Linked DNA regions of Arabidopsis thaliana. The protein of the gene in region 1 binds, or shares a complex with, the protein of each later gene. Each region holds a gene or a part of one and is shown on either strand. Other genes may lie near its edges.

Region 1 (7,998 bases):
ATCAAATGTATTCTGTGTTTTTGGTTGGTTTCGTTACAGAATATTGCACAAAGGGAGAGCGTTGGACAGTGATCAGCCTCACACTAACACACCTAACCACCTAATTGCTTTTATTTATCTTTCCATGTTTAACACATATGGTTGGTTTAATTCACAAGTGAAAAAAAAAAGCTAGATGCCACGTCAGCACGAAGCCAAGACCAGGTGTTGAAAGCTCTTGAATGGAAAGTGTTTTCGCTTTCATTTTAAACTTTTGAGAGAACATACAAGGAACAAAGAAGAGAGTTTATCACGTTTTACTGTTTTAGTTTACCGCTTTACCGAAATAGGAGTGGAATATATCCAATGACAACTTAAGCTTCTACTAAGATGACAAGTACAAAAAAGTTACAAAAAGCTATTGCCATTTTTAACACATTAATCTATAAGATTTGAGGGTTATAAGCAAGGCAATAAACTATACGAGATTACATGTTGAGTGGTTGAAAAATGTTGAGAAAATGAGAAGAAGCTTCATTTTTTTTCTATATCATGCTCAGAGGAGGTAGAACTGAGAATAGAGATAATCCCTGATTTTGTAATAGTCTTCACACAACGGTCCTTCTATCAGAATTTGCTGTGGACCCGATGCTCCTCCCTGAACAATCCCCAACATATATAAGTCATTCTCTGATTTGTTGTAAGAAATGCAGTATTTGCTTTGAATTACCTTTTGACCCGTCGGTCCAACCTTTCGTAGAGTGACATATTCACCACAACGTAAAGCTCCTCCACCTGCAAATTCTACCTGAACACCCTTGCTCGACAGAAACTGCTTGAAGTCTGCGATTTTCAGATCACCTACTAGAACAGGTTTGTGTGGCGAAGCAGCACCTGGCATCGGTAGTAGAGACCTCATGTCCCTCTCTGTCTTCCCTACTTCGGAATCCACCCAAGCTACTTCTGAATCTCCCAGCTGATATTATTTCATCATTCTTCAGAGACATTGGTTGCAAATCGGAAAAGAAGAAAAAAATAGTCACGGAAATAAAAGGTACCTTCTTGAAGATCACATTGCTCATCAGCTTTTCAGAAAGTTGGACCTGATGTATCACCATACAGGGTTAATTCAATCACACAACTCAAAACCCATGAGTTAAAAAGGATCTTCCTAATTCTAAGTAATTTCTACCTTGTAAGCACATAAATCAGAAGTCACATCGACCGTTTCCTCTATTTGAGGAGCATACACGTGTGGACAGATGTTGTTCAAGCAGTGTTGCTTCAAATGCTCTGTAGCCTCAGCTATCGCGTGCACCAAAACCTTCACATGATATATAGTATTAGATCACCGCAAGTTTCCAGTTCAGTGCTTAACACTATATATATATAAGACGAGAGAGAAACGTACAAGTTTTAAAGGAGAAACATGCGCAATCATTGACTTGATTGAGCGGCCATCTGACCGACCTTCATAGTCCATTTTAACAAGTGAACAACTAACAGTCACCTGTGCAAAAGCATAAGAACAAACTAAATCATTTATCAGGGAAATTAGACAGCAGTTAGGTATAGACAGAAGAAGACTAAAGAGCCATATTGTTTTGTTTAGCAGGCAAGGCCTACGTTCTGAGAATAACCTTCTGAAACTTCTACATGACATAAGATCAAGTGGGTAAAAGTAAGAACACAAAAGTTGTTCAATAACAAGAAGAAAATTAGACCGATTAATCCAAACAACAAAATATCTGTAAGTTGAATTATCGTGCTAAAGATCTGATTAGCAAGGTCTCCCGTGATAACTAATTAGAAGATCAATTAATAAATTTCTTGTATGCATATCATCAGATGAAGATAAATTTGACAGGCACAACGCCATGTCAATGAGAATTCCTATCTCTCTATTTCTAAGTGAGAAGACTACTCCTTGTGCCTATCATTGATAAGCAGTCTATAACAATAATCAGAGATTCTAGAAAGGGAGAACAAATGAGGACATTAACTGAGACAAAATCTCTATCAATGTATTGTTCTTTGGATATAATTAGAGTCTACTTACAATGAGCTCATTGGACATGACTTTCGAAGGTCTTGTATCAAGCATGAGACTAGCAGTTGCCTCATCAAGCCTTCCGTCCACATCACCTCCGTTCTGAAATGGAAAATTATATCACAAATTTAATAAGCAACACAAGACTCTACATAGAATGACCCTAAACCTTTACTAGTAAGCAATCAGTTGTTAAGGAAAATATAAAGATGGAACTGTAGAACCAGTGCACTCATTTGAAGAACTGCACTCATACCAAATCAAGAGCCTAAGCAACTTTATGGCAAAAGATTTCCTATCTGTATCCCAAATCCTCAGAGCATATCATGCAGATTTCTTACATCTTTGTTCTTCTTGATACAAAAATCGTAAAAGGAACCACCACTATGCAAACATCATGGAAATTAAGAGGTCTAATTTGCAAATATAACAAGAGCTAAGAAAGACCAAGACCAAGACCAGAATTCAAGGAACGTACATGCATTGCTCCTCGGTCCATGTCTTCATCCTTGATCACATAGTCATCTGGATTAATAATCTCCCCAAAGTCGTCCCATTCAGATGTGTTATCATAATATGGGAACATTGGAGCTACGCTGCTGGATGGGGGAACAAATCCATCAATCAATATATCTTTATATGCAGGCCCGTGAGAACCAATAACTGCAAGAGTAGTCAGAAATGTAAAAGGTCAGTTGCAGACCACTATGTAGTGGAAAGAAGAGCAATCAACAACGGTAGCCAGAGGTCTAATTGAAACAGACACATATTGTGGGACTGTGAAAAACTAAACAAATTACCCAGAAATGTATTGTGAGACTTCTAAATGTAGCTTCTAGGTCACTCAAGATAACCACATAAATGCCTCCTAAAACCAACTAACCAGTACATTACAGAGGGTACTATGTGCATAGCCATTTTCAGTACTAGATACTTCAATTAAGTTAAAGTTTACATGAAAAATAAGAAGTTACAGGCCACAGAATATTCAAGGGTAATAAAATGTTATATAAAATAAGAAAAAATTTACCATCGTGAGTAGTCTTGGTATCTATGATCATAGGTTCACTTGAATTATCATCGGATCCATGGGAAGCTTTTGTTTCCTCCTCTTTAACGAGGCTAGCTCGCAAAGCTTCTTCCCTTTTCAGTCTGTTTTGCTCTTCCTCATATGCAATTAACTCTTCCCCAGCCAAAGGAACCCTCTTAGACATGGTGACTTTAACAAATTTTGGAGGTGGGGCTGACTGAAGCATACGAGCTAAAGTGCCAAACTGCAAATAGAAGCAAATGACAATTAAAAATCAAACTAACAGCAGTTTAGTTTTATGTGATTGACTACAAACCGAAACATCTTGCAAATCTTAGATCACGTGAACTATGAATGGACACATGGAAAGTATAATCGCCATCGCAACTAAGGAACACGACCAATGGCAAAGGTAACAAATTGGATGAAGAACTTCGATAATTTCACTTGGATTTACGGTGTTACTGGTATTTCAAACTTAATAATTCCGTAATGCTCTGTTTTCTGGATAGATTGACATGGACAAGAAAGCATAGTCACACAGAACTGAGAAAAGCGTGAATAATTAACCAAAGCTTCCATTTGTTTCCAAACTATTTATTTGAATAAATTTATTTTTGTCTAGATTGAATTTTAATTAAAAGTATGATATTTCAGGGAACAGGATGATGTCTCGCTAGAAGAAAAATAAACAAAGTACGCGGTTACAAAAAAAAATTATGTTCATTTGAGATGAATGATATGGCCAATTAGACAGTTTGTGCATAGTGGTGTCAATTCCATTAATATGATAGTCTACTAAGACCCTTTATTTTGTACTGGATGTAACTAATTGATAAATTCAAGACTGAAAGCTCTGGAGATTATCCTAAAGGAGCAAGCCAGGCTTTGGTGGTAATTATAATGCTGCTTTAAGGTACTCAATCTCTGCCTATTGTGTACATATTGGGGGTAAATATCCACACATAAATGGGGGAACTCTTATTCAGATCAGAAGACAAAAAAGATTCTCATATATCCACTTAACTAGCTGATCAGCACTAGGAAAAGAATCTACCATCAGGTCTTTATAGCAATGCTAATAAATTTTCGTTCCTCAACGTATGTGGGTTCTAAAAACATACCTGGCCTGTTTCAGTAAAGAGGACTAAATTTCTGGGATCATTTGCCCACTCCACGAATATCTCTCGAGCAAAACCGGCTTCGAGACTAGCCATGGAAGCAAGAACAACCTATATTATGAGATTTAGTCACTACAACATATAATAGGAAAAAATCTAGTTCTATTATCAGCTGAAAAGACAGGAAATAATAATAAATCCACCACGTTCTATGTACTAACAAACACTAATGAGTTACTTATAATTTTATAAACAACCTTTGGACCAGGTGGAGCATTATCCAGATCAGTCTTGTTTATCAACAGAGTGACATGCCTGCATGTGTTTAAATTTCATGTGATGTCTTCTGTATTCTAAACAAACGACGGCACAAATAAGGCATTCTTATAAGAAAATCTACCTCAATAGAAAGGCATTATCACGTGAAGTCTCAAAGGACTTTGAAATGGAGTCACTCATCCACTCGAGGAAACTCTTAACATAGTCAATTGTGCTAGATGACACGTACGTGAGAAAATAAATGGGAAAGCTGAAACCTCTTTGTGACCAATGCTGCAGGTTTGATCAATATCCAGTCTTTAAAAAACAGCTGAACATTAACTAAGAGCATGATACATTCAAAGCGGTTCTATTACCTGTTCAAGTATCAAGAGAAGTTCCAGGACACGACCCGCAGTGTCTACTGGCAATAGAACATTTCCTCCAACTTCAAGATGTTTTGAAATGGTATCTGAATGATAAATGGGGACATGCACACATGTTTCTGGCAGTTAGAAGCGGGCTGTTTTAAATACTATAGAAGATACACAACACATATTGGGCTACAAGCTAACCTAGAAATTCTTTGTCCCTTTGCTGTCTTGCGGTTTGATTGGTATAAAGAGCATGATATGCATCGGTTATCAGAACAGCAGGCCGAACAAAAGACTGTAAAACAGTTCCATTCAAATGCCTGAATTAAGATATACAATTCAGTATCACGAGTCCACATCTTTACTTACTGTTATGAACATTACTCGAACTTCAAATAAGATAAAATCTGAACATATGTACCTTTCTTTCCGATGATTGTAGTCAACAGCATATATAACATCCTCCCCATCCTTTGTTATCCTCCAGATGCTACCTCCCAGCATGTGTCCAGCAACATGAGGAGCAATTACAATACCCTCTCCCTTTCCTGATAGGGCAACGATAAAACCTTGAGACATCCTAACAATCTTTGAAGTCATAACTTAGGTTTCAACAACCAAATACTCAATGTGTGTCAAAGAACTCCTTCCCGATATGAGATCATAGATAATGCAGATCAAACTTGCTTGAGATAAGTGTCAATTGTTTCTAGTTTGCTATAGAGCCTAGAAATCACTAAAACCACATACCAGAAAGATGGTAATTTTGAGAGTAAGTCAATCTGATCACATTCTGGAAAGCAGAATCTATGTCATCCAGTGTAAACAGATCAAAGTCGGATACTTGCTGCAACAGTAAGATCATCGTGTTACAATGCAGACAATTGCGCAAAAATAACCACTCCAGTAGTTAACAAAATCTCACCTTCCTGGACAAAAACTGATCATACATTGTAAGGAGACCTAATCTATGAACAGGCTCAGTAGCATAAACAGGAGCGGAGAGTCCAAGCTGCTTCATAGCATAAGGAAGAGCACCAATGTGAAGTGTATCTGGATGAGAAAGCAAAACTGCATCTATAGTAGAAGCAACCCTGTAAACCAGAAGAATCGAATTCAAAACAAATTAGATTGGTGAATTCTGGAAATGTAGATAATAAGGATAGAGAAACCTGGAGAGAGGTTCGAGGAGCGATGTGTCGAAGAGATCGTTCCAACCACAGTCGATGAGGAAGTTGAAACCATCAATGGAGACTAAGTAGGAGAGAGGATTCTCGTTGTAAACTCCGCAGAGAGGAGTCACTTGCACCGAAGTACCCATCTTTTCCGTTCGCCGATATAAACCCTAAAATTTCTCCGATGAACTAAAGAAGAAGAAGCCACCGTGAAAGAGGGTTTTTTAATTCTGTAATAATAACCTCCCCGGTCCATATATTTCCTTTTACTTCTAAAATAACCCTTTTCTTTTCAAATTGTTCATTTGGTACATATAATCTTTGAAATTTTTTCTCTCTTTACCTTGATTTTTTAACCAACACAAAGAGGGATTAGTGAATCTTTTACCAAAAAATGTTGTGGTAGCAGTGAAACATAGATGGTGAGTCCATTATAAGCATATGAGTCAATTCTATTGTATGTTCAAACTTCAAAGTAGATCGGTTTCATTATGATTGCTCATTCATTTAAAATTACATGAAACTTCATTCATTGTTTCAACATGAAAACATTAAACACACCCTTAAGGAAAAATAGGCAAATCTCCGTTAAATATACTAGAGTAAATCAAAAACTTTTAAGCAGTTGTACCAAATACACTAGATCTATGAGCATATGGTGCAACCAGAAGACCATTACAAGTTGATAAGAACTTACGCATAAACCTTTGTATTTATTATCCGTAAATCCCAATTACAATGAATCAAAACCCTATATTGATAAGATCGGAGTTACAATGCTCATCTCTTATCATCAAGAACATAGCACACAAGCCCTAATTCTCCTCACAACATCAATGATCACGCAGGATAATCTCTATAATTCCTCTCTAATATCCCTATTTATACTCTTTTATTCTTCTCATGCTTCTCTTTAGCTCTTCACACGTGCCTAATTCTCCCACATGTGTGCTCTCTTATCACTAATTAGTAAATGTTGCAACTAAAAGATCACTACAATGGTAAAAAAATGTTGGAAATCTCTTCTATGAAATAAGAGATATTAATGAATGAATTCACTTTCAGTTAATTTTGAATTAAACGTATTTGAATTCTGATATAGTATCGAAGTTCAGATCATTTGACATAGGTGTGTTGCGTAATACTTAATAATTCAATAGTTCGAGATGAACTATATATATCATTTGTTAGGAATATGATGGACAATAAGAAACAAGTAGCTGGTATGTTGATTGTGACGAATGATAAGTTCTTCCTGATTTTATTGATGCACGTTAGAAAGCCAAACAACATTTTGATTCAAAATTGTGATAGCTTCACTTCAAAGGCAACACAAAAAAAAAAAAAAAAAAAAAAAAAACATATGCATTTGGTGAAGGAGGACCCGTGAGGACCAAACCAAAATCATAATGGCTAAGGATAACAACCATAACTAACTATCAAACCTTTCTTTCTTGATATGAATATGAAAGTTGTAGTTAGGTAATAATAGGTTGATTAGTTAAAGAGTGTAAATAAATGTAATTATTATACTTGTTTTCATAAGAAAAATGACCAGAGAGATTGAAGACAATTGTTTGTGTGTGTTTTTTTTTGGTTCTTTAAAGATAGATTAAGAAGATTCGGTGAACCTAAACCAAAAGACACCTAAGAATGTGATTTTCGATTCTAATTCATCAGCTGGTGACCCACCCATCAAGACCCATCTCCATACTTAGAAAAATATCTAAAAATACAATACATTTTTTATAAATAAATAAAAAGAAAGTATCAAAATATGGTTATTCTTGCAAAAAAAAAAACTTTTTTTTAATCATTTGTTTTTTGTTTTTTGGCCTTATCTACGCCCTATGCTGTCTACTGCACATAACTAAACTTAGCTCTCGTGTGAAACTGATAAGTAGTAGTGTAGAACTGTTTTTGTGAGCCTGTGGCTGTCACTGAAATTTGTTTTTAATACCAATACAGAAATTGGATTTCAATACATTTACAGATTGAAAATTCTTACAAA
Region 2 (6,065 bases), on another chromosome or scaffold:
TCCATAGTATATCAGCAGCAACTACAGGCTTCGAGTAACCCCAATCGATTCGTCTCTCCTCGAGAGCACGCGCCGCTGTTTCTCTAACCAGCATCGACGGTGCTCGGTGGCCGGTGATCCGTCCTAATAGAACGGCGAGAGCTGTAGGTCTGGCTGATGAAGAAGAAGAAGAAAAAGAGCCGTCGTGTCGTGGACGGAGTAGAGGCGCATGTTGATCACGCGCCGCCGTGGAATCTGAAGAATACGATGACATTAGTAACGAAGAGAATTGAGATTCTTCTTTCTCTCTGCTCTAGAAAACGCTAAGCCATGGCGGACAGTTTTAAAAAATGGTTTTAGTTAATTAACATTAATTGAAGATTAGACACAGTCTTATAAGTTAATTATCATTATCACAATAAGTCGTACGTCTTTAACCTTAAAGGATCCGGTTAGGAGTGGCCATTCGGATAAACGGGTCGGATTCGGGTAAAATTCGATCGAATACGGTTTTTCGGGTAGAGAAGTTTAGGATTCTATAGGGTAAATCTAAAATATCGGTTCGTGTATAGATTTTAGGCCTTTTTTAGAACCATACTTGATTTTGCGGGTAAATATGCAAATTTTTCGGATTTCGAATAAAATTTAAATTTTTGATTAAAATATTCATGTATTTTTGGGTTCGACTTCAGATTTGGTTTTTAGGGTAGAAGAATTTAGGACACAAGTAAATTTTCGGATTCAGATTCAGTTTCGGGTAATTGGTTCCGGTTTTTAATACGGGTGTTACTTTGTTAGATAGAAATTGGCGCTAAAGTTGGTAAGTTTAGTTACTACTGGGTTAATTTAATTTACTAGGATCAAAACTTTTACATATGCCGACAGAAAAACGACAAAAACTGAAAACACTTCTCAGTGTTACAAGAATCAGTGATTTAGTTTGATAGCATTGATGATTTCCCAGCCAAGCTCTAAATCTGCGATAGACCAGTTGCAACACAAGAACACAGCTTCACTACTACTACTACTGCTTCGATGCATACACTTGTCTTTTAGACACAAAGAGCCCTTGAAAGATGCAACCTGCAAACAGTTTTCAGATTCATGGATCTGAGCACCAGACACTGTCTTCAAGATCTTTGCAGACAATTGTTTGATTAGATCAACATCATCATCTTCTGATTCTCCTTTAACTTTCACTGGACAACAATGAGCTAAAGAGACCACATGGTTTTTCTCATGTAACACCTCAGAGATTTCATCTTGGTGAACTATCTTTGCCTTTTTGCTCTTCTCTATTACCAAAACCCCGTCTGCGGTTCTATGGTCTGTAACACGGAGCTGAGTAGAGTTTGAGAATTTGAAATTCGGGTTGGAGCAGCTTTTTAGGAACATATCAGAAGCGTTTGCTTTTATATAAGTGGTTGAAGCGAATGAAACTGTTTCGCCATTGGCAGGGACGAAACAGGGGATGTCAAGCTCTGAGGTTATCTTTTCCTTAAGAATCATCATGCTGGGTTTTTCGCCGTGCACGAGTACAACGTTCTTTGGGGAAAGGAACTTTGTGAGATCCATTATTCCTTTTGCATCTGTGTGAGGACTGAAAGCCACTTGATGTACCTGATAACAACAGAATCAACAAGACATTTTAGTTTAGGTTCAACGTGTGAATTGGACGCATTGCTGTTTTCGTGTTAAGGTTACATAAATTTTGTGAGAACCAGAAGAAAGAGTAAACAAACCTTGCAACGGACATCGACCTTGGTGCCATTGTAGAGATCAACCGTCGTGGGTTTACCAGCCATCAGTTTGTGCCCAACGGTCCCAGCCACAGAGTATCTGTAAAAAACGGATCCATAAATGGATGAAAAGAGATACAATTTCGTGTTAGATGCTATGCTAGGAAAAAACTGAATTGCTAATAAAGGGGAAACACAATAGGTATAGTACCCGGGTAATGCAACAAGATTCAAGGGAGAAGGAGCCCAGTGCTTGAACACTTCAAGTGAAAAGCCAGCACAAAGCATACCAGGTGTGGCAAAGAGAACACATGGCCCAGGAGCATGTATAAGAGATCGATCGAAATCTTTAACTGCAGAATGTGAAGGTAGTAGTTAGAAAGCAAGCAGAGTTGTACAGCTAAGGTAGTGGATAAGAACAAAAAATGGACGCAAAGGATGTATTAGAACCACTAGTTTGGTTCTTATTTTTCAAGCACATCAGAGTTTCGGTTCCATATGATATAAATTTCATCTTCAACGTTCTAAAGTTATTTGCAAATGGTAGTACACATACCATTCTTAAAATCAAATGGGTTATGCGTATTGTGCTTTTCTTTAACGTTCTGGCTTGTCCAGCTGATGAGCATTTTGTAATACATATTTGCTTGGATGGTCAAACCTGCAAAAGTACAAATTTATCTTCAGGGACAGCAATTTTCAGAAGATAGAGATCACTATTCATGAAATAGAGTCACGACTTTGTTGAGCTGACTAATCTGCAGAATTGATTTCATATGAGGATTGGTGGTGATTTAACAGACCTGATGAGAAGTAAATTGGAACCTTTATATTCATGCGTTCCCAGTAATCATCAAGCAGCATGCAGAGTTCCTGAAAAAGGAAACGCAATTGTCAATGAGACATAAGAGAAGCAAAGACAAGTTTAAGTAACTGACTTCAAAGCTCTGTAAGAAGACAGACCTGAGCCCTTCCAAGAGCAAATGAAGGAATCAGCGCCTTCCCTCCGCCAGCAACACATTTATGAACCTGGAAGAGTTTTCTGAGATATCAGACAATTACCAAACGAAAGCTTAAGCATTTCCTGAAGGGGTATATTGATCAGAAACAAGCCAAAGGTGATGCGGGTAATTATAATCAAAAACCATTTAAGAACAAATTTAGAAACCATGTGTTAATAGTTACAAGTAGACATACAGCTTGAAGAAACTCTCTCTCCCGGGGATATTTTGAGCCGCGAATGGTAGTTGCATATGTGGACCTAAAACGGCATAGTTAAACCTATATCAGGTAAACTTGTTCTTTCTAAGTTTGTTGAAAAATACCAGCGAACAAGTTTGTATTTGTTTTCCATACTCTGAAATGAGAAGATCCAACTGGAGTCTGTCAATTTTAGCAGCTCCTAGATGTCTATCTGTCGTCATATTGTAATCTCCAGTGTACACAATCGCTGCATCTCCCATCTTTGCATAAACCATCACTGCTCCAAGGACCTTATGATCAATACAAAATAAGCTTTAAAAAATACAGAAACTCTGAATATAAAAAACACAGAAAGAAATTCACTAAAACCAGAACGAATGTCTTACATGCCCTGCATAATAAGCCCGGATTTGAAGATCTTCATCAACCTGAATTGTTTGCTTCAAATCTATTGCAATTACTACATATAAAAAAACAAGAGGAAGTCAAGTTATAGACACTGCATCTGAATTCGTGCACAAAGACCTCAAATGAACTAAATCCAATATTCAAGTACCTTTTTTCATGCAGTTTGCGATATGGGTAGTGGTGAATAGCTCCTCCTCGCCTCTTCTATCCACCATCACTCTTCGGTAGTCCTCAAGCATTAATGGAGACAAAGCCTTTGTGGGATACTACAAAAGAGACAAATCAAAGTAAACAACCTTTACCTTCACAAAAAAAAAACAGTCAGTCAAACATTTCATCGAACACCTTGAGGACAATATAACTCACCGACATATAAATCGGACCATTGTACCCACAAACTTCCGTGAAGTAAGGAAGCGCTCCAACATGATCCATATGGCTATTAACACTCACAATTAAAACCCACAAAAACTAAAAAAGTGAATTTTAAAAAAGGGACAAATTCTGGGTTTGAAGAATCAATACAAGTGTGTGATGATGATACAAGAGATCGCGTTGTCAAAATCACCGGATTTAGATATGAGAGAAAAATTTGGGTAACGATTGTGATCATCACAGCCCATATGCATCCCACAATCGAACATTATCTTTTTACCATTAATCGTCACTACCACACAGCTCTTTCCAATCTCTTGTCCAGCACCTGGATACAACACAAAAAAGATAGAATTATACAGAAATTGAAATTGTGAAACTTTGAAGAAGCAAAGAGAGAAGAAGAAGAAGAACAAAAACTGTTACCAAGTACGAGACAATCGATAGCCATAGTTACTGAAGAAATAAACAACAATTTGAGTTTCAAAACTCGTCGATGGTCAAAAATATCTTACTCGTTGAATCAGAACACAAATTCAAGTGACCGGAGAAAATTTTGAAGGGGGCGAGAGAAGAAACAGAGTTAGGTCGACAAACGAATTTGAATGGCGGCAAAGTGTTCAGTGACATCGGAACCGTTCGGAGTTATTACACGTGTCTGATCCAACCGTCGATATTTTTGTGGTGTGAAGCCCAATAATAGTTCTTCTCACGGCCCATTAAATTTAAAAGTTTGAAACGACAACGTCTCATGTCGTTTTTAATCTGAGGAAGAAAAAAGCTCGTAACTAATCCCTAAATCAAGAGAGAAGTGAGAGACACTGAGACTTTGTAGTTGACCGGATCATTCTCACTTCGCCGGCCGACGTTCTTCCTTCCGCCGTCGGTATCTATATTTACGATCCACGATCTCTCTTGCTGTTTCTGTCTTCATCGGTGAGTAATTTTTTACTGATCTTCCAAATCCTATCAATTCACCATCTCTGAGCTCTTTCGTTGATTTGAGTTTTGTTCTTACTGCAGTGACGAAAATGGCTGCTCGTATCGGGATCTTCTCCGTCTTCGTAGCTGTATTGTTATCTATTTCTGCATTTTCCTCAGCTCAGGATCTCCAGATCGTAAATGCCGAGCGAAGGGTAAGATTCTCCGATCTATCTTCTTCTTACAATTCATAAACTTCCTTAATGGATCCCGTTTCTCCGATTTATGGAAATTCAAGTTAATGAAGTTGCCGTTGGGCTTTGCTGTTTCTCCGATCTATACTCGGTTTGTAGAATTACTGTGTGATTGGTCACTTCATGGTTGATCATCATCGATAGGCTTCATATGTATGTACATTGATAGATAGTGTGACTTTTCATCAGTTATACGTTTGATTTGAGTAATTAGAAAGTCTAATGATAGAACCTGTTTGCAAAATTTTCTTGCCCGAAACTGAAATGCTTCTCCTTTGTGTTTGTTTTTGTCTACAGATTGATTTAAGCTCACATATCGTGAAGGCCTTCTTGACTCTCAAGGTATTTATAAGCAAATGTTTATAATAGTTATTCCTATTGAATATACACTGGAAGGTTGGAACTTAGAATTGGAAAATTAAAGCTTTTTTGGATATGTTATATGAAACTGCAGCTGTTTTTCTTTTAGTCAAATTTAGTTTATTGTAGTGATACTTGTTGTAAAGGTTGGAACTTTAGTGGCTTTGATTCGTTGTGACAGTTAATTTGATATTATCGCTTTTCTCCTTCATCATCTTTAAGTTTTTCTATTAGGAGGTGACATTTTCTTGTCTGGATTTCTTTCTTCAGGTTGAAAATATTGGGAAAGATCCTGCTGCAGAAATGCTTCTTGCTTTCCCACCTACCCAGATCAAGAATTTGGCTATGGTACAAGCCCTGGCAACTACTGGCAAGAAGAAGAAGAAAACTTATTTGCCATTAGATGTAAAACCAACTGAACAACCTGATGCACCAAATGACACTGGATACTACCGTGTTACGTTTATTAGCCCCTTAGGTCCGGGTGAAACTGTTTCACTTGAGGTGCTTTACATATTGACTCATTCCTTGGAACCTTTCCCAGTGGAGATAACCCAGTCAGAATCTCAATTGGTTTACTATCATGATAGTGCAGTGATATTGTCACCGTATCATGTTAAGCAACAGACAACTTTTATTAAGACTCCTAGTACTAGAGTAGAGTCGTTCACTAGCATTGAACCTGCTAACCGGGCTGGCAAAGAGATCAAATATGGACCATATGAAAATCGTGCTTCATACTCTTACACACCTGTCATCATTCACTTCGAGAATAACAGTCCATTTGCTGTTGTTGAGGAGCTTGTGCGTGAAATTGAGATTTCAC

What was found.
Region 2: CPSF100 (region 1) and CPSF73-II share a complex: the UniProt entries of both Arabidopsis thaliana proteins name them as parts of the CPSF complex.

What each region holds. Positions count from the first base shown.
Region 1 is NC_003076.8:8,050,685-8,058,682, reverse strand, and holds CPSF100 (cleavage and polyadenylation specificity factor 100), read right to left. Parts: upstream 6,245-7,998; 5' UTR 6,134-6,244; coding exon 5,985-6,133; intron 5,907-5,984; coding exon 5,738-5,906; intron 5,660-5,737; coding exon 5,563-5,659; intron 5,361-5,562; coding exon 5,234-5,360; intron 5,133-5,233; coding exon 5,014-5,132; intron 4,911-5,013; coding exon 4,816-4,910; intron 4,733-4,815; coding exon 4,581-4,732; intron 4,496-4,580; coding exon 4,438-4,495; intron 4,292-4,437; coding exon 4,184-4,291; intron 3,304-4,183; coding exon 3,060-3,303; intron 2,693-3,059; coding exon 2,508-2,692; intron 2,132-2,507; coding exon 2,039-2,131; intron 1,490-2,038; coding exon 1,391-1,489; intron 1,304-1,390; coding exon 1,172-1,303; intron 1,083-1,171; coding exon 1,038-1,082; intron 956-1,037; coding exon 710-955; intron 638-709; coding exon 536-637; 3' UTR 218-535; downstream 1-217. UniProt on the Arabidopsis thaliana protein: CPSF plays a key role in pre-mRNA 3'-end formation, recognizing the AAUAAA signal sequence and interacting with poly(A)polymerase and other factors to bring about cleavage and poly(A) addition. Required for antisense-RNA-mediated gene silencing.
Region 2 is NC_003071.7:318,687-324,751, reverse strand, and holds CPSF73-II (cleavage and polyadenylation specificity factor 73 kDa subunit-II), read right to left. Parts: upstream 4,320-6,065; 5' UTR 4,156-4,319; coding exon 4,131-4,155; intron 4,033-4,130; coding exon 3,855-4,032; exon of another isoform or gene 3,769-3,854; coding exon 3,696-3,768; intron 3,596-3,695; coding exon 3,478-3,595; intron 3,382-3,477; coding exon 3,308-3,381; intron 3,212-3,307; coding exon 3,075-3,211; intron 2,980-3,074; coding exon 2,916-2,979; intron 2,748-2,915; coding exon 2,682-2,747; intron 2,592-2,681; coding exon 2,522-2,591; intron 2,380-2,521; coding exon 2,275-2,379; intron 2,072-2,274; coding exon 1,930-2,071; intron 1,819-1,929; coding exon 1,722-1,818; intron 1,600-1,721; coding exon 907-1,599; 3' UTR 789-906; downstream 1-788. Other genes in the region: RIE1 (RING-finger protein for embryogenesi), read right to left, coding at 1-253; AT2G01720 (Ribophorin I), read left to right, coding at 4,736-4,840, 5,177-5,221, 5,510-6,065. UniProt on the Arabidopsis thaliana protein: Component of the cleavage and polyadenylation specificity factor (CPSF) complex that play a key role in pre-mRNA 3'-end formation, recognizing the AAUAAA signal sequence and interacting with poly(A) polymerase and other factors to bring about cleavage and poly(A) addition.